3 linked regions of the Xenopus tropicalis genome follow. The protein of the gene in region 3 purifies or fractionates together with the protein of the main gene of each other region. This does not show direct contact. Links are inferred from orthologs where the notes say so. Each region holds a gene or a part of one and is shown on either strand. Other genes may lie near its edges.

Evidence for each region.
Region 1: the proteins of nelfe (region 3) and nelfcd purify together in Homo sapiens (affinity purification with mass spectrometry; 9 studies listed by BioGRID and IntAct, counting the BioPlex papers as one, with this or other methods). This does not show direct contact. The link is inferred for Xenopus tropicalis from reciprocal best matches to the Homo sapiens genes NELFE and NELFCD.
Region 2: the proteins of nelfe (region 3) and nelfa purify together in Homo sapiens (affinity purification with mass spectrometry; 9 studies listed by BioGRID and IntAct, counting the BioPlex papers as one, with this or other methods). This does not show direct contact. The link is inferred for Xenopus tropicalis from reciprocal best matches to the Homo sapiens genes NELFE and NELFA.

What each region holds. Positions count from the first base shown.
Region 1 is NC_030686.2:3,058,319-3,064,718, reverse strand, and holds the start of nelfcd (negative elongation factor C/D), read right to left. Parts: upstream 4,141-6,400; 5' UTR 4,093-4,140; coding exon 4,027-4,092; intron 3,285-4,026; coding exon 3,172-3,284; intron 2,945-3,171; coding exon 2,835-2,944; intron 2,274-2,834; coding exon 2,164-2,273; intron 2,089-2,163; coding exon 1,981-2,088; intron 1,514-1,980; coding exon 1,361-1,513; intron 986-1,360; coding exon 855-985; intron 1-854. UniProt on the Homo sapiens protein: Essential component of the NELF complex, a complex that negatively regulates the elongation of transcription by RNA polymerase II.
Region 2 is NC_030677.2:21,139,273-21,145,688, forward strand, and holds the start of nelfa (negative elongation factor A), read right to left. Parts: upstream 4,061-6,416; 5' UTR 3,971-4,060; coding exon 3,761-3,970; intron 1-3,760. UniProt on the Homo sapiens protein: Essential component of the NELF complex, a complex that negatively regulates the elongation of transcription by RNA polymerase II.
Region 3 is NC_030684.2:74,051,181-74,057,138, reverse strand, and holds the end of nelfe (negative elongation factor E), read left to right. Parts: intron 1-1,858; coding exon 1,859-2,105; 3' UTR 2,106-2,231; coding exon of another isoform or gene 2,232-2,376; 3' UTR 2,377-2,455; coding exon of another isoform or gene 2,456-2,510; 3' UTR 2,511-3,329; coding exon of another isoform or gene 3,330-3,432; 3' UTR 3,433-3,808; coding exon of another isoform or gene 3,809-3,918; 3' UTR 3,919-4,291; downstream 4,292-5,958. Other genes in the region: complement C2, read right to left, coding at 5,411-5,608. UniProt on the Homo sapiens protein: Essential component of the NELF complex, a complex that negatively regulates the elongation of transcription by RNA polymerase II.

The sequences.
Region 1 (6,400 bases), on a different chromosome or scaffold from region 3:
GTGTTAGGACTGGCCAGACCGGCGCGGTGCAGTGAGTGTAGGGACAGGCCAGACCGGGGCCGTGAGTTGAGTGTAGGACAGGCCAGACCGGGGGTGAGTGAGCTGTAGGACAGGCCAGGAACCGGGGGTAGTGAGTGTAGGACAGGCCAGACCGGGGGTGGATGTGAGGTAGGCCAAGACCGGGGTGAGTGAGTGTGGGACAGGGCCAGACGCGGGGGTGGAGTGAGTGTAGGCCAGACCGGGGTGAGTGAGTGTAGGACAGGCCAGACCGGGGGTGAGTGAGTGTAGGACTGGCCAGACTGGGGGGTGATGTGAGTGTAGGCCAGACCGGGGGTGAGTGAGTGTAGGACTGGCCAGACCGGGGGTGAGTGAGTGTAGGACAGGCCAGACCGGGGGTGAGTGAGTGTAGGACAGGCCAGACCGGGGGTGAGTGAGTGTAGGCCAGACCGGGGGTGAGTGAGTGTAGGACAGGCCAGACCGGGGGTGAGTGAGTGTAGGACAGGCCAGACCGGGGGTGAGTGAGTGTAGGACAGGCCAGACTGGAGGTGAGTGTGACCCAGTTGGGCAGCTGGAATATATTACAATATAAGGACAAACAATCCCTGTATAAAGGGGAGGGCATTTCTCGGCAGCTTAATGCACAGAATGGGTTAATGCCCTATATATATTGATAATGGGGGAGGGCAGAGGGGCTCTTGTTGTTGTTTATATTAATTCTGTGGTCACAGCCTCATTGCCCCCCCACCTACTGGTTTATAGTTTAGTGGGGAGCACAAGTTCCCCCTTTTCTTGCTGTACCCCGTTATATAAATGGCCTTTCATTGGGCAGCAGGGGATGCACTCATTGCTCTTACTTTTCATGTGCAAATCTCTGGACCTCTTGTGCGATCCTTCTCATGGCCGACCCCCCCTGCTCCTCCTGCGACAGGATGGACATGATGGCCTGAGCGAACAAGTACGTGTGCTCTCCGTGACACACCATCTTCTGCGGGGCACAGAAACACGTTACACACGTTACACACGTTACACACGTTACACACGTTACACACGTTACACACGTTACACACGTTACACACGTTACACACGTTACACAGGTTACACACGTAACACACGTAACACACGTTACACACGTTACACACGTTACACAGGTTACACACGTTACACACGTTACACACGTTACACAGGTTACACACGTAACACAGGTTACACAGGTTACACACGTTACACAGGTTACACAGGTTACACACGTAACACACGTTACACACGTTACACACGTAACACACGTAACACACGTAACACACGTTACATCTGCGCAGCACCCCCCCCCCCCATGTGGCGCAAATGGTTTAAACGTATGTACTGCGAATTCGGGGAGGTTTTTCTCCAAGTTCTCTTCTCCCCCATCCAGGATCGTTGCCAGGGAAGTACGGAGGACCCTGGAGAAGACTTCCAGCTGCTGGCACGCCGTGGAGACGCTGGTGATTTCCCCCTGGTACCCGGCATCCGAGATCAGCTGCAAAATGGGAAAAAAAATATGTGAAGCACAAAGCACAGTTTTGAGGGTCCAGAGAAGGACTTTCAGCAGCTATCTGGTTGCTAGGGTCATGTTTACCTTAGCAACTAGGCAGTGGTGTGAATGAGACACTGGAATATAAATAGGGGAGGGGCTGAATAGAAAGATATGGGATAAAAAGTAACAATAACAATAAAACTGGAGCAATAGGTTTTGGCTGCCGGGGTCAGCGACCCCTGTGTGAAAGCTGCACAATGAAGGCAAATAATTCAATAACTATAAAAAATAAATAATGAAGACCAATTGCAAAGCTGCTAGGAACAGGTCATTCTATAACATACTAAACGTTATCTTAAAGGGGAACCACCCCTATAATAAAGGGCTTGGGAGATCTCATACACAAAGGCTGCGCAGTAGGAGTTGCTCAGACTCGGGGTGACTGGGGGGGCCCAGCCGTATGTACCCACCTTGACAGTGAAGTTCAGCATCAGGCAGTCGGGATGGGCCTCTGCCAGTTTGTAGAACAGATCTCTCCATGTGGTGTGGGCGATCATCTGCTCCAGCCAGGCCGGCGTCTGCGCACAATGAGCAAAGAATGTACCCCCAAATCTACTCTCTAGCCCCCCCAACCCGCGGAACATCCCTGTTACCTCTCCTTCCTCTGTAAAGATGGAGTCGGCTTTCCTTGGGTCGAAGTGTTTGATCAGTAAACTCTTCAGATGGTTTTCCACCGTCTCTTGTACCTGCGCGGGCTCCACACCTGCAGCCAATCACACACAGGTATTTGGGGGGATACACACAAAGCTCACCCCTTATCCAGAATACTCACCAGTGCCATTCCTACAGTTTCCTTTGATGGAAACTAACCCGGCCAAGGGTGGCAAGGACGTATATTGAATATTCTGAGACAATTTGCAATTGCAATTTTTTATTATTTGTAGTTTTTTAGTTATTTCATTTTCAATTCAGGACTCATGTTTCAGCAGCTATTTGGTCGCTAGGGTTGTGTTTAACTTAGCAACCAGGGAGAGGTTTGGATAAGAGACTCGTATATGAATAGGAGAGGGACTGACTAGAAAATAAAGTTACAAAAAGTAATAATAACAATAAAACTGGAGCCTCACAGAGCAGAGAGTATTCAGGTTGCCGGGGTCAGTGACCCCCATTTGATAGCTGGAAATGAAGGCAAATAATTCTATAACTATAAAAATAAAATAAAAAATGAAGACCAATTGCAAAGATGCTAGAAATAGTAACAAGTCAGTATGAACGAGAGGCTGGAATTACGAGTAGGGGGGTCGGAATAAATAAATGTCTGTACCCGAGTGGATGAGCCATTCCGCCAGCAGATTCACAGTCTGCGCCACGGCGCTGTAATTCTCCGACAGGAGCTGGATGACATTTTCTGGGGACCCCCCCGACTGGAAGTACCTGGAATTCACACGCAACAACTTAATGTAACAGGAGGGTTTCAGGCTGTGTGAACTGCAACTCCCACCACCCCACTGACAATCTGGGAGTTGTTCTGGGTTCCCCCACCCTCTGGGCTCTACTCCCCCCTGTGTATTCCCATCCCGGCTCCCTGTCCTCTGCCCTTTGGTTCTGTCCCCCCCCCCCCCATTCCTCACAGAAGCCTGGGGGGCCCCTGCGCCTCTCACCTCTTCAGTGTGTTGAAAACAGCAGGTTCCATGATATAATCCCGGGTGGTGAATTTCCGCAAACACTCCTGTTGCACCTCCCCATCATCCTCCCCTTCCCCATAGTCTTCATCCTGGAACGGCAAGAATTCTGTGTGAGAACTGCGCCCAACCCCATTATATGTACCCCAATATATATGTACCCCAGTATATACAGTATGTACCCCAGCCCCAATATATATATGTACCCCTATATATATGTACCCCAGCCCCAATATATATGTACCCCAGTATATACAGTATGTACCCCAGCCCCAATATATATGTACCCCTATATATATGTACCCCAACCCCTGTCCTGCCTCCCCCCCAATATATATGTACCCCAACCCCAATATATATGTACCCCAGCCCCAATATATATGTACCCCAACCCCTGTCCTGCCTCCCCCCCAATATATATGTACCCCAACCCCAATATATATGTACCCCAACCCCAATATATATGTACCCCAACCCCTGTCCTGCCTCCCCCCCAATATATATGTACCCCAACCCCAATATATATGTACCCCAACCCCAGCCTGCCTCCCCCCAATATATATGTACCCCAACCCCAATATATATGTACCCCAACCCCTGTCCTGCCTCCCCCCCAATATATATGTACCCCAACCCCAATATATATGTACCCCAACCCCAGCCTAACCTCAACTCTGAAGCCCCCCTAAAACCCCCTCCCTCTCCCCCTGCCGGTGCCCAATCCCTGTATCCCGCCCCCCCCGTTTCTCCCCAAAATATCTGCCCCCAATATGTCTCTCATTCCCGTCTCTCTGCCCCTCACCCAGCGCCTCTCCCAGTAACCCCAGTACGTACCATTCCCCTGTCCTCCCAGTCCCCAATAATCCCTCCCGCCCCCCCCATGAAAAACTCCGCGTCCATCCCGCCCGGTATCCGGGTCCCAAACTCCCGGGAGCGCTTTGCTTTTCCTTCTGTCGCGCCCGGCGCAGGTGGATGACGTACTTCCTGTGTTCTGTCAAACTGGTAACCGTGCGCCCCTGGCGGCCATAGAGTAGAATGCAGGCAGTGACAGTAAGGGACTGGGGCACCGGGATGGTTCTGTGATACAGTGTTATAGACTGCATGGGGGTTATTGCTCTCTGCGCATCTCTTGCTGGGGAGGGGAATGTTATAGACTGCATGGGGGTTATTGCTCTCTGCGCATCTCTTGCTGGGGAGGGGAATGTTATAGACTGCATGGGGGTTATTGCTCCCTGCGCATCTCTTGCTGGGGAGGGGAATGTTATAGACTGCATGGGGGTTATTGCTCCCTGCGCATCTCTTGCTGGGGAGGGGAATGTTATAGACTGCATGGGGGTTATTGCTTCCTGACCTGCGCATCTCTTGCTGGGGAGGGGAATGTTATAGACTGCATGGGGGTTATTGCTCCCTGACCTGCGCATCTCTTGCTGGGGAGGGGAATGTTATAGACTGCATGGGGGTTATTGCTCTCTGCGCATCTCTTGCTGGGGAGGGGAATGTTATAGACTGCATGGGGGTTATTGCTCCCTGCGCATCTCTTGCTGGGGAGGGGAATGTTATAGACTGCATGGGGGTTATTGCTCCCTGCGCATCTCTTGCTGGGGAGGGGAATGTTATAGACTGCATGGGGGTTATTGCTCTCTGCACATCTCTTGCTGGGGAGGGGAATGTTATAGACTGCATGGGGGTTATTGCTCTCTGCGCATCTCTTGCTGGGGAGGGGAATGTTATAGACTGCATGGGGGTTATTGCTCCCTGCGCATCTCTTGCTGGGGAGGGGAATGTTATAGACTGCATGGGGGTTATTGCTCCCTGCGCATCTCTTGCTGGGGAGGGGAATGTTATAGACTGCATGGGGGTTATTGCTCCCTGCGCATCTCTTGCTGGGGAGGGGAATGTTATAGACTGCATGGGGGTTATTGCTCCCTGACCTGCGCATCTCTTGCTGGGGAGGGGAACGTTATAGACTGCATGGGGGTTATTGCTCCCTGCACATCTCTTGCTGGGGAGGGGAATGTTATAGACTGCATGGGGGTTATTGCTCCCTGCGCATCTCTTGCTGGGGAGGGGAATGTTATAGACTGCATGGGGGTTATTGCTCTCTGCGCATCTCTTGCTGGGGAGGGGAATGTTATAGACTGCATGGGGGTTATTGCTCCCTGCGCATCTCTTGCTGGGGAGGGGAATGTTATAGACTGCATGGGGGTTATTGCTCCCTGCGCATCTCTTGCTGGGGAGGGGAATGTTATAGACTGCATGGGGGTTATTGCTCCCTGCCCTGCGCATCTCTTGCTGGGGAGGGGAACGTTATAGACTGCATGGGGGTTATTGCTCCCTGCACATCTCTTGCTGGGGAGGGGAATGTTATAGACTGCATGGGGGTTATTGCTCCCTGCGCATCTCTTGCTGGGGAGGGGAATGTTATAGACTGCATGGGGGTTATTGCTCCCTGCCCTGCGCATCTCTTGCTGGGGAGGGGAACGTTATAGACTGCATGGGGGTTATTGCTCTCTGCGCATCTCTTGCTGGGGAGGGGAATGTTATAGACTGCATGGGGGTTATTGCTCCCTGCGCATCTCTTGCTGGGGAGGGGAATGTTATAGACTGCATGGGGGTTATTGCTCCCTGCGCATCTCTTGCTGGGGAGGGGAATGTTATAGACTGCATGGGGGTTATTGCTCCCTGACCTGCGCATCTCTTGCTGGGGAGGGGAACGTTATAGACTGCATGGGGGTTATTGCTCCCTGCACATCTCTTGCTGGGGAGGGGAATGTTATAGACTGCATGGGGGTTATTGCTCCCTGCGCATCTCTTGCTGGGGAGGGGAATGTTATAGACTGCATGGGGGTTATTGCTCCCTGCCCTGCGCATCTCTTGCTGGGGAGGGGAACGTTATAGACTGCATGGGGGTTATTGCTCCCTGCACATCTCTTGCTGGGGAGGGGAATGTTATAGACTGCATGGGGGTTATTGCTCCCTGCGCATCTCTTGCTGGGGAGGGGAATGTTATAGACTGCATGGGGGTTATTGCTCCCTGCGCATCTCTTGCTGGGGAGGGGAACGTTATAGACTGCATGGGGGTTATTGCTCTCTGCGCATCTCTTGCTGGGGAGGGGAATGTTATAGACTGCATGGGGGTTATTGCTCCCTGCGCATCTCTTGCTGGGGAGGGGAATGTTATAGACTGCATGGGGGTTATTGCTCCCTG
Region 2 (6,416 bases), on a different chromosome or scaffold from region 3:
ATTCATGTATATTTGAAAGGTGCCACTTTACTATTATTTTTGGATGTATATACCCTTTAAAGAGATACTGACACCAGAAAGTGAACCGTAACATCTATCACAACATTGCCCTTGCAAGCTCTTTATAATTTTGCCCCAAATGTATTTGCCAGATGTTTTTATATTACCTATCTGATCCCCCATGTCCCTCTATAAGGGGGCGGCCATATTAGTGCAGCAGGGGGCCGTTAGCAATAGAAGCTGTAACTGACAGGCTGAGAAGGGACAGTCAGGTTGGCAAAACAGTCAGGTTTAGAGACTTTAAATAGGTACTTCACCTTTAAATTTATTTTTATTATGTTATAGAATTACCTATTCTAAGCAACTTTGTATCTGATCTTCATTATTTATTTGTTACAGTTTTTGAATTATTTGCCTTCTACTAACTCTTTGCAGCTTTTAAATGGGGGTCACTGACCTTGGCAGCCAATAAACTATTGCTCTCTGAGGCTACAGTTTTATTATTGTTACTTTTTATAACTTGTTTCTATTCAGACCCCCTCCTATTCATATACCAGTCTCTCAGTCAAACCACTCCCTGGTTGCTAAGGTAATTTGCAACCCTAACAACCAGATAGCTGCTGAACCTATAACCGGGAGAGCTGCTAAAACAAAAAGTTAAATAACTGACAAACTGCAAATAATAAAAAAATGAAGACCAAATTGAGCAAACTGTCTCAGACTATCACTCTTGTTAGTTAAAGAGGTTGTTTTCACCTTTAAGCTAACAATTACGTAGAAAAGTAAACCCATCACCATGACCTATAGGGAACATGACGTACATTCATATGAGCAGTAGTTTAGTGCCAGGGTGACTGTAATGGCAGCTCCATGACCTGAACAGACCGGGGCCCACCTGTAGGAACGTGCACATTGGCTGATACTTCGGCTCCTCGCTGAGCCGCACAGCAGTAAATATTGAATATTTTATTTCCATCTCTCATGCAAAGTGGCACCACGCACGGCTAAACCCAGATGGCCCTGACCCCCTATCCCCCCTCACTAGCTCATTTGCACACAGAGCGCCATTTATACGGCCCGACACCTAACCACATGCACAGAAACTACTTATTGGCGTTTCCTTCCTGACAATATCTCAATCAGCCACCAATTTCCTGTGTATAAATAACTCCTAGCATGGTTTAACCCTTCCAGTGCTGCCCATCATATGATCTATAGAGCTACCGACGCAGCAGGTTTTGCGCTTCCAGCAAGATCAAAGCACTTGTTCCTTAATTTGGGCAATTAGCAAATGGGACTTCAGATTTTAATTTGGGTGGTTGCTATGACTTAACGACCCTAGTAACCAGGAAGCACCCTGGAAGTGAAAATAGAAGCTGAATAGTAGATGGCCCCAAATGACAAATAAGCAGTAAAAACAAAGAATAACATTAAAACTGAAGCCTCACAGTCAATTTTTGGTTTTGTTGCTGGGGGGGCAACTGCAGGTTGGAAAGAGGCAGAATATGCAGGTTAATCATTCCATTAAAAAATAACATCCCCTTAAGAGAAAAATACCTGTTTTAGAGAGGAATTTATTTTATTTTCTATTTTCTACTGCAATCTACACTTTCTTCTCACAGGACACAGCTATGTCATGTGACACATTGTATCTGCAGAGTCAATGAACCCACACATGTACCAATCTGGATGTTTTCAATCAGACAGGACAGAGGCTCCGCTCCTTTTGGCACTGCTGACTATTGCAACAGAAGTCAGCTCTCCTGCAGCCAAGACTCCATTTCCCATAATGCCTTGCAGGCTTCTTAACAGGCTTGCTGATCATGCATGAAAAAAACCAAAGCGTCTCACTGACATTTGGCACCCCCAGTGATTTAGCCTTTACTTCTCCTTTAAGCAAAATAAAATCATGTTCTTACCCATATTGGTGGCAAACCAATCCTATTGGGTTCATATAATAATGAATAAATTACTTTTAGCAGACAAGGTAGATTGATTCAACTTGCCAAACAGGCCCAAAGTACAATATTGCAACCTTTCCTTCCTCAGTTTCATCATGCCCTGGCACATCAGTCCCTCGGGAGGGAAAACACTTTTACAACAACCAATACAAATCATTTAGCCACACAGACCAAAATCAGAGGCATAACCAGGTGTAACTGGGCCCCACAGCAATTTCAGCTTAGGGCCCCCAAACAGGGTCTGCTTCTTCTGGAGGTGATCTGGAGGTTAACTTGCCCTTTAATCATTTTCATGTGCTCAAAAGGAATCTGTAGTGTAGAAAAAGTGCAAGAGGTAACAGGTATGGGACCTGTTATCCAGAATGCTCGGGACCTGCGGTTTTCCAGATAAGGGATCTTTCCATAATTTGGATCTCCATAACTTAAGTCTGCTAAAAATCATTTAAATATTAAATAAACCCAATAGGGCTGTTCTGCCCCCAATAAGGGGTAATTATATCTTAGTTGGGATCAATTACAGGTACTGTTTTATTATTACAGAGAAAAGGGAATCATTTAACCATGAAATAAACCCAATAGGGCTGTTCTGCCCCCAAAAAGGCGTAATTATATCTTAGTTGGGATCAAGTACAGGTACTGTTTTAATTATTACAGAGAAAAAGTAAACCATATTTAAAAATTAGAATTATTTGCTCATAATAGAGTCTGTGGGAAAAGGCCTTTCCATAATTTGGAACTTTCTGGATAAAGGATCCCATACCTGTACATTCATTGTAGTAATACGTAAATATAATGGCTACAGAGAGCAGCATCTGTCCGTCCTTTATATATTCTTTGGTTCTGACTCCTAACACATTGTAGCAGAAGTCAGCTTCTGAACATAATATTAGAAGTCAGAACTGGCAGTGCAGTGATATATACCCCCCAGCTTGTGTCTCAACCCTTTCTCCTTGTAGATTGTAAGCTCTATTTGGGCAGGGCCCTCTTCATCTCTTGTATTGGTTATTGATTGCTTTATATGTTACTCTGTATGTCCAATGAATGAAACCCACTTATTGTACAGCGCTGCGGGATATGTTGGTGCTTTATAAATAAATGTTAATAATAATAATAATCTTTCTATTATCTATCTATCTATTTATCTATCTCTCTTCACCTCTTGTATCGGTTATTGATTGCTTTATATGTTACTCTGTATGTCCAATGTATGGAACCCACTTATTGTACAGCGCTGCGGGATATGTTGGCGCTTTATAAATCAATGTTAATAATAATAATCTTTCTATTATCTATCTATTTATCTATCTCTCTTCCCCTCTTGTATCGGTTACTGATTGCTTTATATGTTACTCTGTATGTCCAATGTATGTAACCCACTTATTGTACAGCGCTGCGGGATATGTTGGCGCTTTATAAATAAATGTTAATAATAATAATAATGATATATAAACAGCCAGACATGCACTGCTTTTATAGGCAATTACTGTTGCAGAGAACTTTTAAAACCCCTAAACCCCTGTAGCCAATACATATTGGAAAGTTTCTTTAAAACTTTTTTATGCCCTTTAAAAAGTGACATTTTGGGTTGATTCGTATCACACCCCCTTTTGCCTCCAGCGATAAAGGTAGTGGAGCAGAGACCAGCTGCCTGCCCCGCAGGGCTCCCCCTCGTTGGAATAATAAACACAACTACTGGACTGCAAAGGCTGCTGGGAAACGTAGTCCTCTGTCAGCCTGTCACTGGGTTCCTTTGCCTGTCACTGTCCCAGCAGAGAAGGGAGTAAGTGTTCGGGACTCACCTCATCCACTGTGCGCCGCGGGAGGTGCAGGATCCCCAGCAGCAGCTTCAGTTTGACGGCGGAGGACAAGTTATGGAAACACAGCCGCACGTTGTCTATGACGGAGGCGGTGAGCAAGGAGGCGATACTCGGGGGCGCCCACAGCTCGTCAGCGGAGCCCAACTTGTTGTGAAGCCACAGGCCGGTGTCACTCTCCCTCATAGACGCCATCTTGGGAAAAAAGAAAAAAGCTCCCGAGCAGGCATTTTATGAAGTCACCTAAAAACACGGCCGTGAGGACCCCTTCTGGCGCTGGTCGGGACTCCTGTCACAGGAAGTCTCGGAGCGTACTATCGCGATACCTGCCCGGAAGGCGGGCTGAGACTCGCTTGTGATTGGTTTAACGTTAAAAAGAGAATGTATAATAAAGGTTCTTAGGTTGCGTAGGATAAGTTAGCCATAGCAACCAAAAAATGTTAGTGTTCAAACAGTTGACCATGAAGTGGGCTGCTCTGAATTTATTCAACAGTGCTGAACTTTATGTCTTTTATTACATAACCGCATTAGTCTGATAATCCCTGCCTTTTGGAGGCTGTTGCTAAAAAGTCTTTCAGCAAATTCCTGTGATATCATGCATGAATGGCAGTGTCCCAGTTGCCTCAAACACACTGTGGGGTACCCAAACAACCCTCAGCACCCCAACTTGCCCAATGCCCACATAATGTATCACTGTTTCTCCCTGCCATCTTGATTGGTCACCAGTGTTCCCACATACAGTCAGGAAGTGCTGAGCTCCCTCTCATTGGGGGTGGGCAGGGCTGTGCTGGGAGCAAGTACTGAGGTGCAAAAAATGGATATCGTAGTATAATAAAGGTTCTTAGGTTGCTTAGGATAAGTTACCCATAGCAACCAAAAATATTTGTATTCAAACAGTTGACCATGAAGTGGGCTGCTCTGAATTTATTCAACAGTGCTGAACTTTATGTCTTTTATTACATAACCACATTAGTCTGATAATCCCTGCCTTTTGAAGGCTGTTGCTAAAAAGTCTTTCAGCAAATTCCTGAGATTTTATGCATGAATGGCAGTGTCCCAGCTCCCTCAAACACACTGTGGGGTACCCAAACAACCCTTAGCACCCCAACTTGCCCAGTGCCCACATAATGTATCACTGTTTCTCCCTGCCATCTTGATTCCTCACTACCTGCGGTGCTGCAGGGTTCCCCAGTGTTCCCACATACAGTCAGGAAGTGCTGAGCTCCCTCTCATTGGGGGTGGGCAGGGCTGTGCTGGGAGCAAGTACTGAGGTGCACAAAATGGATATTGTAGTATAATAAAGGTTCTTAGGTTGCGTAGGATGTTACCCATAGCAACCAAAAATGTTTGTATTCAAACAGTTGACCATGAAGTGGGCTGCTCTGAATTTCTTCAACAGTGCTGAACTTTATGTCTTTTATTACATAACCACATTAGTCTGATAATCCCTGCCTTTTGGAGGCTGTTGCTAAAAAGTCTTTTTAGCAAATTCGAGTAGGGTTTAGCGCCTGGCCGGTAATTTGATCAGCCCAGACAGTAAATCACCAGCTAGGGCCAGGGTACGGAATTACAAATTTACCTGCAATGTAATTGGTGGCAATTAGGGTCGCCACCTTTGCCAGTGGCTAAACCCGAACAAAGGGGGTGGGGCTGATGGTATTGAGGGTGGGGCAGTTGGTGGGGTGGGCATGATGACCTCAGGGTCAGGCACGTTGGGTGGGGTTATGATGCCAGGGTGCGGTTACTGCAACACTTGCAATTGGCTGGAATTCCGTTCAGTTTTTTTAATGGTTCTTATATTTTAAGCTTTTTTTCCTATTAATAACATTGGCATCAGTTGCCACTTGGCAGCTCAATTGACATCCCTAGTTGGCAACTCAATTGGCATCCCTAGTTTTATCTATATTCTACCTGACGAGTAAGTCCCATCCTTTAATTGTATGGGTTCTGTTATACCAGTTATCCAGAAAGCTCTGAAATTTGGTTTTTATTTCTGTAATAATAAGAAATGAATTGAACTTGAATTGAATGTTGATAGAGAAAAAAACCTCAGTATTTAAATGTCCTGGCAGCACAGGTGTCAAGCACCCCAGACTACCAGGAGTCTTTCGAAATAGCTACACAGTGAGCATTACGTGACGTCAGTCACATTGTGCGCAGTCGCAATCACATTGCACATGTCCATACTGGATCAGCGCCATGCTGCGCCCACTAACAGTCCCCTGGGAGATAGTCTGTCAGGGTTGACGGCTCTGATGTATGGGGGCAGCTGGTATAATAGTTCCTATACCTATACAGGTAATTTGGTTCTCATATTTGATGAAGGTTTGCTTAGCATGGTGTCTGAAGGGATTTTGCTTTGCTGAGCCAGGTTGTATTGGTGCCCAAGACAATACTAATTGACTTGGTGCCCTGACAAATATTCCTAGAACACTGTGTGCTCTTTACAGTATATTTGCCAAGTTACACTAACTTTTCTGCAGAAAACTCGTTGATGCGGTCCCCGAACCGACTGCCCCATTGCCGCCCAGGGCCAAACGATCGAATTAGCCTACATGTTCCCCGATATCGCCCACCCGTAGGTGGGTTATCGGGAGAAGATCGCCAAGCGAGCAGATCTTCACGTGTATGGGCACCTTAA
Region 3 (5,958 bases):
TTGGGCTGAAAATGTGGCATCCTATGCAGAGGCTAAAGAGAAGGAATACAAACATCTAAAAGGAGCACTGAAAACTTGACTGGGCCTTTATCAAACCTAAATTAAAGACAAGCAAAAAGACCAGACCAGCAAACAGAAGGGAGGAACACAGCAGGTGAAGCAATATAGTCAGCCCATATGTTTCTGGAACATCAGAAAAACTTAGGAGAATTTTCAACAAACCTCACATTCCTGTGTATTTCAAACCCAGCAACACTTAAAGTTGGTGCACTCTGAAGACCCTACACCAAAGCACATGAAAAGTAATGTGTTCTATGCTGTCCAGTGTAGTGAATGAAGAGTGCTCTGATTTATACATTGGGGAGACAAAACAACCTCTCTGTAAGGGAATGGCCCAACATAGGAGGGCTAACTACTCAGGTCAAGACTCAGCACTAGTAAAGTGCATATTTTGGAATGAGAGGACAGATGGTTTGAAAGAGGCCATTTATGCTAGCCTGGAAAAACCATCCCTGAACAGAGGAGGGGACCTGCAACACCAATTGTCATCAACATACAATATCGCTTTGACATCCTTACCCCGGCAGTTTCACAACAGTTCACACTTCCAGTCATGTACTTTGAAGGATTAAAACCTGCATCAATGAGAATCATGATACCATTGTAACTGGATCATACCTTCTTACACCTGTGAGTTTCAGCCAACACTTAACTGAAGTTCAATGGAACCATTATGATTGGATTCTCTAGGGTTTAAATGCTGGGGAATTCCCAACCAGTCAATTGAACTAAACCACTCGGATGAGTTTGTGAAAAAACTTAGAAAAAGTCCAGTTGTTTTAGACTTAATTCTACTAGATACTGATTGTTATTGACTTGTGCCAACGTTGGATGCCTCCTTGTGCCAACGTTGGATGCAGCTCTGGCGAGGATGAGATACTATAAACTTCTAATTTGATACATGAGTTGATACATTTTCTTATTTTTTGTCCTGCTGAGAATAGTCCCTCAGATTTATTAATTGATACAATAGTTGCTAATATTCTACAGATGCTGATGTATGAACTAATATAGTAATTAGTTACTAACATAGCAATTGCTAACAGTTCAAAGTATGCACCTGGATTACTGAGCTTCTAGACTTAACCTATCACCCTGTAATTGGTTCCCCCATCAGAGGTGCAGGCTAATAGGCCCAGCATTTTGGTTGGGGAAACCAATGTTTTCCTTTTTTTTTTTTTTTTTTTTTTTAAAATACAGCCCCCGCCATTGCTAGGCTGCCCACACTGAGAGGGAGCTTCCAGAGTGGGTGGCCGCATCGTCTGCTGCGCATGCACATAATGAGTATGTCTCCCCACTCACTCATTATGCGCTTTTGCCTGATGTAGGATTGGTGGATGTGATTCACCCTCCTACGTCACACATGAGTTGCGAGTTTTGGCATCCACTCATTATGCACGTGCGAATGCCACAACATGGCTGCCAGCAGCTATTGTTTCTCTTAATCAGAGTGCAGGCTCTATTAGCCTACACCTTTGGTGGGGTAACAATTTAAGGGGGGTAGGTGTCCTTTAAACACCAGAGAGAGAGAGAGAGAGACAGGAAAGTTTAAACTTCAGTATTAGAAAAAGAGAACAAAGTACAGAGTAAAGATGTATATATTTTTATAAACTACTTCTGTGTTATTCTACACTAATTAGTAGAGATAGCACAATAATTTTCTCTAGTGTGTTGAACTGTGTATAACTATTTAGAAATTTGGCTCATTAGAATGAGTAAATCTTTTAATCCAGATTTATTTTCTTATGTACTTCTTTTGTACCTTTTCCTTCCTAATTTTTTTCCCCCCTCATTCTAGTTTTGTCAGCCCGAGTGAGCGAATGAGAGATCCTGAGAGAGAAAGCGAGGAACGAGAGAGTGAGAGGGATACTCGTCGAGGAGAGAGGGAACTTTTAGAGAGAGAACCTTATGATAGAGATCGTGGAAGAGAGCGAGATCGTGACCGGGACAGAGAACGAGATAGAGACCGAAGTGAGAGAGACCGCGAAAGAGATCGTGAAAGGGACAGAGATGGCTTTTACCGCAGTAATTTGCCACTTTTTTGATTTTTACTGAAGCAGAGGGCTGGAATTATAGCTCTGCTATTCATCTTAGCTTCCCTTTGCCTAACTTCCTTACCAGGTCTTCATTTACTAATGATTTAACCAGTGCCTTTGTCATGCATCCTGTAGGATCAGATTCATTCCCTGAACGTCGGGCTCCAAGGAAAGGTAATACTGTTTATGTTCATGGTGTGGGCATGAACCAGACAATGCTTCGTGAGGCTTTTTCCAGCTTTGGGAACATTATTGATCTTTCTGTGGATGCTCCAAGGAAGTAAGTAGGCACTGTATGGACCTTACTAGTGTGCTTTTAGGCTGGCAACCTTTTAATTTTGGGGGCCTTTTATTCCCAGCTGTGCTTTTGTTACATATGAGAAGATGGAGTCAGCTGACCAGGCTATTTCAGAGGTGAGTTTTGCTGCATGGTTTCCTTTTACTGCCTCCTTTATTCCATTTGATACTGCTATTCTTTGTCATTGTCACTTTGGAGTATTAAACACATAGAACTGAAAAAATGGGATTTTGTTGTTTTTTTTTAAGCCGTTTTTGTTTTCTCAGATTTTTAGAAAATAAAGATTGGGCTCTTTATTTAAACAGCAAGGCTTCTAAAACTGTGCTATGCAGTGTTGTATGCTTCACTAAATGTTTGCTATAATTATCTGCTTGATTGTTTGCTATGATAAGTGTTGGAGGCCTTAAAGGAACAGTAACACCAAAAAATTTAAATGTCTTAAAGTAATTAAAATATAATTTACTGTTACCTAAACTGGTGTGTTTGCTTTAGCAACACTATTATATTTTATATAAATACCCTGCTGTGTAGCTACAGGGGCAGCCATTCAAGCTGGAAAAAAGGAGAAAAGGCACAGTTTTTATAACAGATAAGACACCATTGTATTCTACTGAGTTTATCTGTTATCTGCTATGTAACCTGTGCCCTTTCTCCTTTTGAATGGCTGCTCCCATGGCTACACAGCAGCTTATTTATATAAACTATAGTAGTTTTTCTGAAACAAACACACTACTTTTACCAGTGCAGGGAAATAGTACATAATATAATAATTATTTTGATACACTTTCATTTTTTGGTGTTACTTTTCTTTTAAAAGTATATCAAACAGCTATACTTTGAGAAGTTTAACCTCATGCCCCTATTGGGTCAAATTCCTTGAACCTCTGTAAAATTTGTTCTCACGTCTGAACTGAATTCTTCTTCTTCTAATTCAGCTTAATAACAAGGTGATAGAAGACATACCAGTGAAGGTTAGCATAGCTCGCAAACAGCCTATGTTGGAGGCAGCCACAGGAAAATCAGTTTGGGGTTCATTGGGTAAGTTGTAACTTTATATGTAAATGTTTCTCTTGCAATTTCTCTACAAATATAGTCATAAGGCTGCAGAGCTACATTATGGACTGCTGGTGAAAGGGACAGTACCAGCATGATATTGCTTTTACAAGGCAAGCTGTAGAAGGCAAGAATCTCTGCAAACCTGTAGCACCCGGTGGAGGTGGAATGTGGACTGCCTATTTACACTAAAGGGCAATTCAGAAGTTAATAGTGCAACCACATGGGTGCTCTGACAGCACAGGCAAAACAAAGAAGACTTAACCAATAAGAAAACTGTCCCCTTCTGCCCTGGATTGGTACTTAACATTATATAGTAAAATGTCACAGATTTATCTTCTGTTTTTCTTTTCCTTCACAGCTGTACAGAACAGTGTTAAAGGTTCACACAGAGATAAGAGGTCTCAGGTCAATTACTCTGAAGATTTATTTAGCGATGGTCAAACTGATGCTGATAAAAAGCCAGGATAAAGAGAAGCGAGGAGAAAGAGAATATTAGGGCCCAAGATCTCTATGTGTACATGGTACACATGGTTGAGGATGGTAAATAAAGTGACCGTTGACTATTTAAAGAAACAAGACTGTGCTTATATGCTATGCCCAAGATTTTTTTTTTTTAACTATAATTTAAAATGGCTTTTCAGTTATTTGTGGATATGTAGGTTACTGTTTGCATTGTCCCTTTAAATATGTACTCTACATTCCTGTAATAATGATTTAGTGACTACTTTCTACTAATTGGCTTTATCTCAGTTGTTTTGGGCACATTTACCATCTCAGCATGCATAGAGTATGCCAATAGACACAAGGAAGGTAAATAAAATTACTTGTATAAGGTACAACAGGAGGTATTGGGACCCAAGTTATTTCTTGAGTATCACAGTAATGGTATATGTTTTGTCACATGTAACAGCCTAAATTATAGACAACCTTAATATAACACTTTCCATTTCAAACTGGAGACTTGCTAGAAAAACTCACACACTCAACTATATTTTTCAGATGTGGTTTATCACTTAAGAACATATAAGTATGAGCTCTTCTGCTGTCTCAGCAGCACTGCAGCATGACTTAGAATGTTTCCAACTTGCCAAATTGGAAAAGCTGCTGAGGAGAAGGGTCCTTTGACAGGCATAATTCAGGCAGAAATGACCTTGTCTACATAAGCTGCGCTTGTGCTATTGACCTTTAAAGGATTATACATCTTTGGCCAAGAATGCGGAAATAAGACTAATATCACACTAGGCTTTTTCCCATTATTTGGCACACAATACTTTCTGCCATGGACAATACTTTTAGCCAGTGATCCCCAACCAGTGGCTCGGGGGCAACATGTTGCTCCCCAACCCCTTGGATGTTGCTCTCAGTGCCCCCAAACCAGGGAGTTATTTTTGAATTCCTGACTTGGGGGCAAGTTTTGGTTGAATAAAAACAAGATTTCCTACCAAATAAAGCCCCTGTAAGCTGATAGACTGCATAGAGGCTCCCTAATAGCCAATCACAGCCCTTATTTGGCACCTCCATGAACTTTTATGGTGCTTGTGTTGCTCTCCAAGTCTTTTTACATTCGACTGTGGCTCACGAGTAAGAAAGGTTGGGGATCCCTGCTTTTAGCCATGGACAACTATTATTTTGCAAATGGTTCTACTTTGTACAGATTTGAAGGATGGGATTTTACAAAACCTTTCAGGCATTTCCCAGTCACAAAAAGATTGTATATTGTTCCTCTAAGACTAGAGGTCATTCCTTTATGTTTGTTGTGGGTTGGGTATTTCTGGGTTAAAGAAGGAAAGCATTGGACCACTACTTCTTAGAATAAACTGTGATTTTACTGAGGACAACAATATAATGAAACAACAAGTTGCTGTATATAAAAAGATTGCATCTGCATTCTGAATGCATATGTGAGTTAACTTATGCAGAAGAAAGAACAAAGGCAGAAAATAGAAATGTCAAGTTTTTGTCAAGAAGGACACACTGTCATATCTTGCTTTTGGATGTCGGGCAGGAAGTCCAGCTCATCCCCAATGTGCTTGCGCATCCAAGGCAAGATCTGCATGATATCAATGTAAAAATCTCTGGGTTCAGATCCAGGAGGTGGAAGCTCACGCTGCCCAGGTCGACTGCAGGGATTAAATATTCCAAAACTTAGCACACCAACCTGTAAAATGAAAAGACAGAACAGAAGTTTGGTAGGATAGATATTAGACCAGAATGGGCACAAATAGTACAACAATGGCATAAAGACAAAAACCTGGAACAGCAAAACATCTAGGTTTACTTAAGGCCAGACTGGACACAGATTCTGTGTGTAAAGAGACACATTGCTATCCCATTCCGTAAATTATCAGATATTCAGACCAATCACCCAGTCATTGTGACACCCTACAAAGTATGGCAAAAGACACTAAAATTATACAAACTGGAGTCTCCAATCCTATCTCCGGGCCTGCCATTGTGGGGAAACTCCTACTTACCCAACTTCCAACAAATTGCCCCATACCGAATATG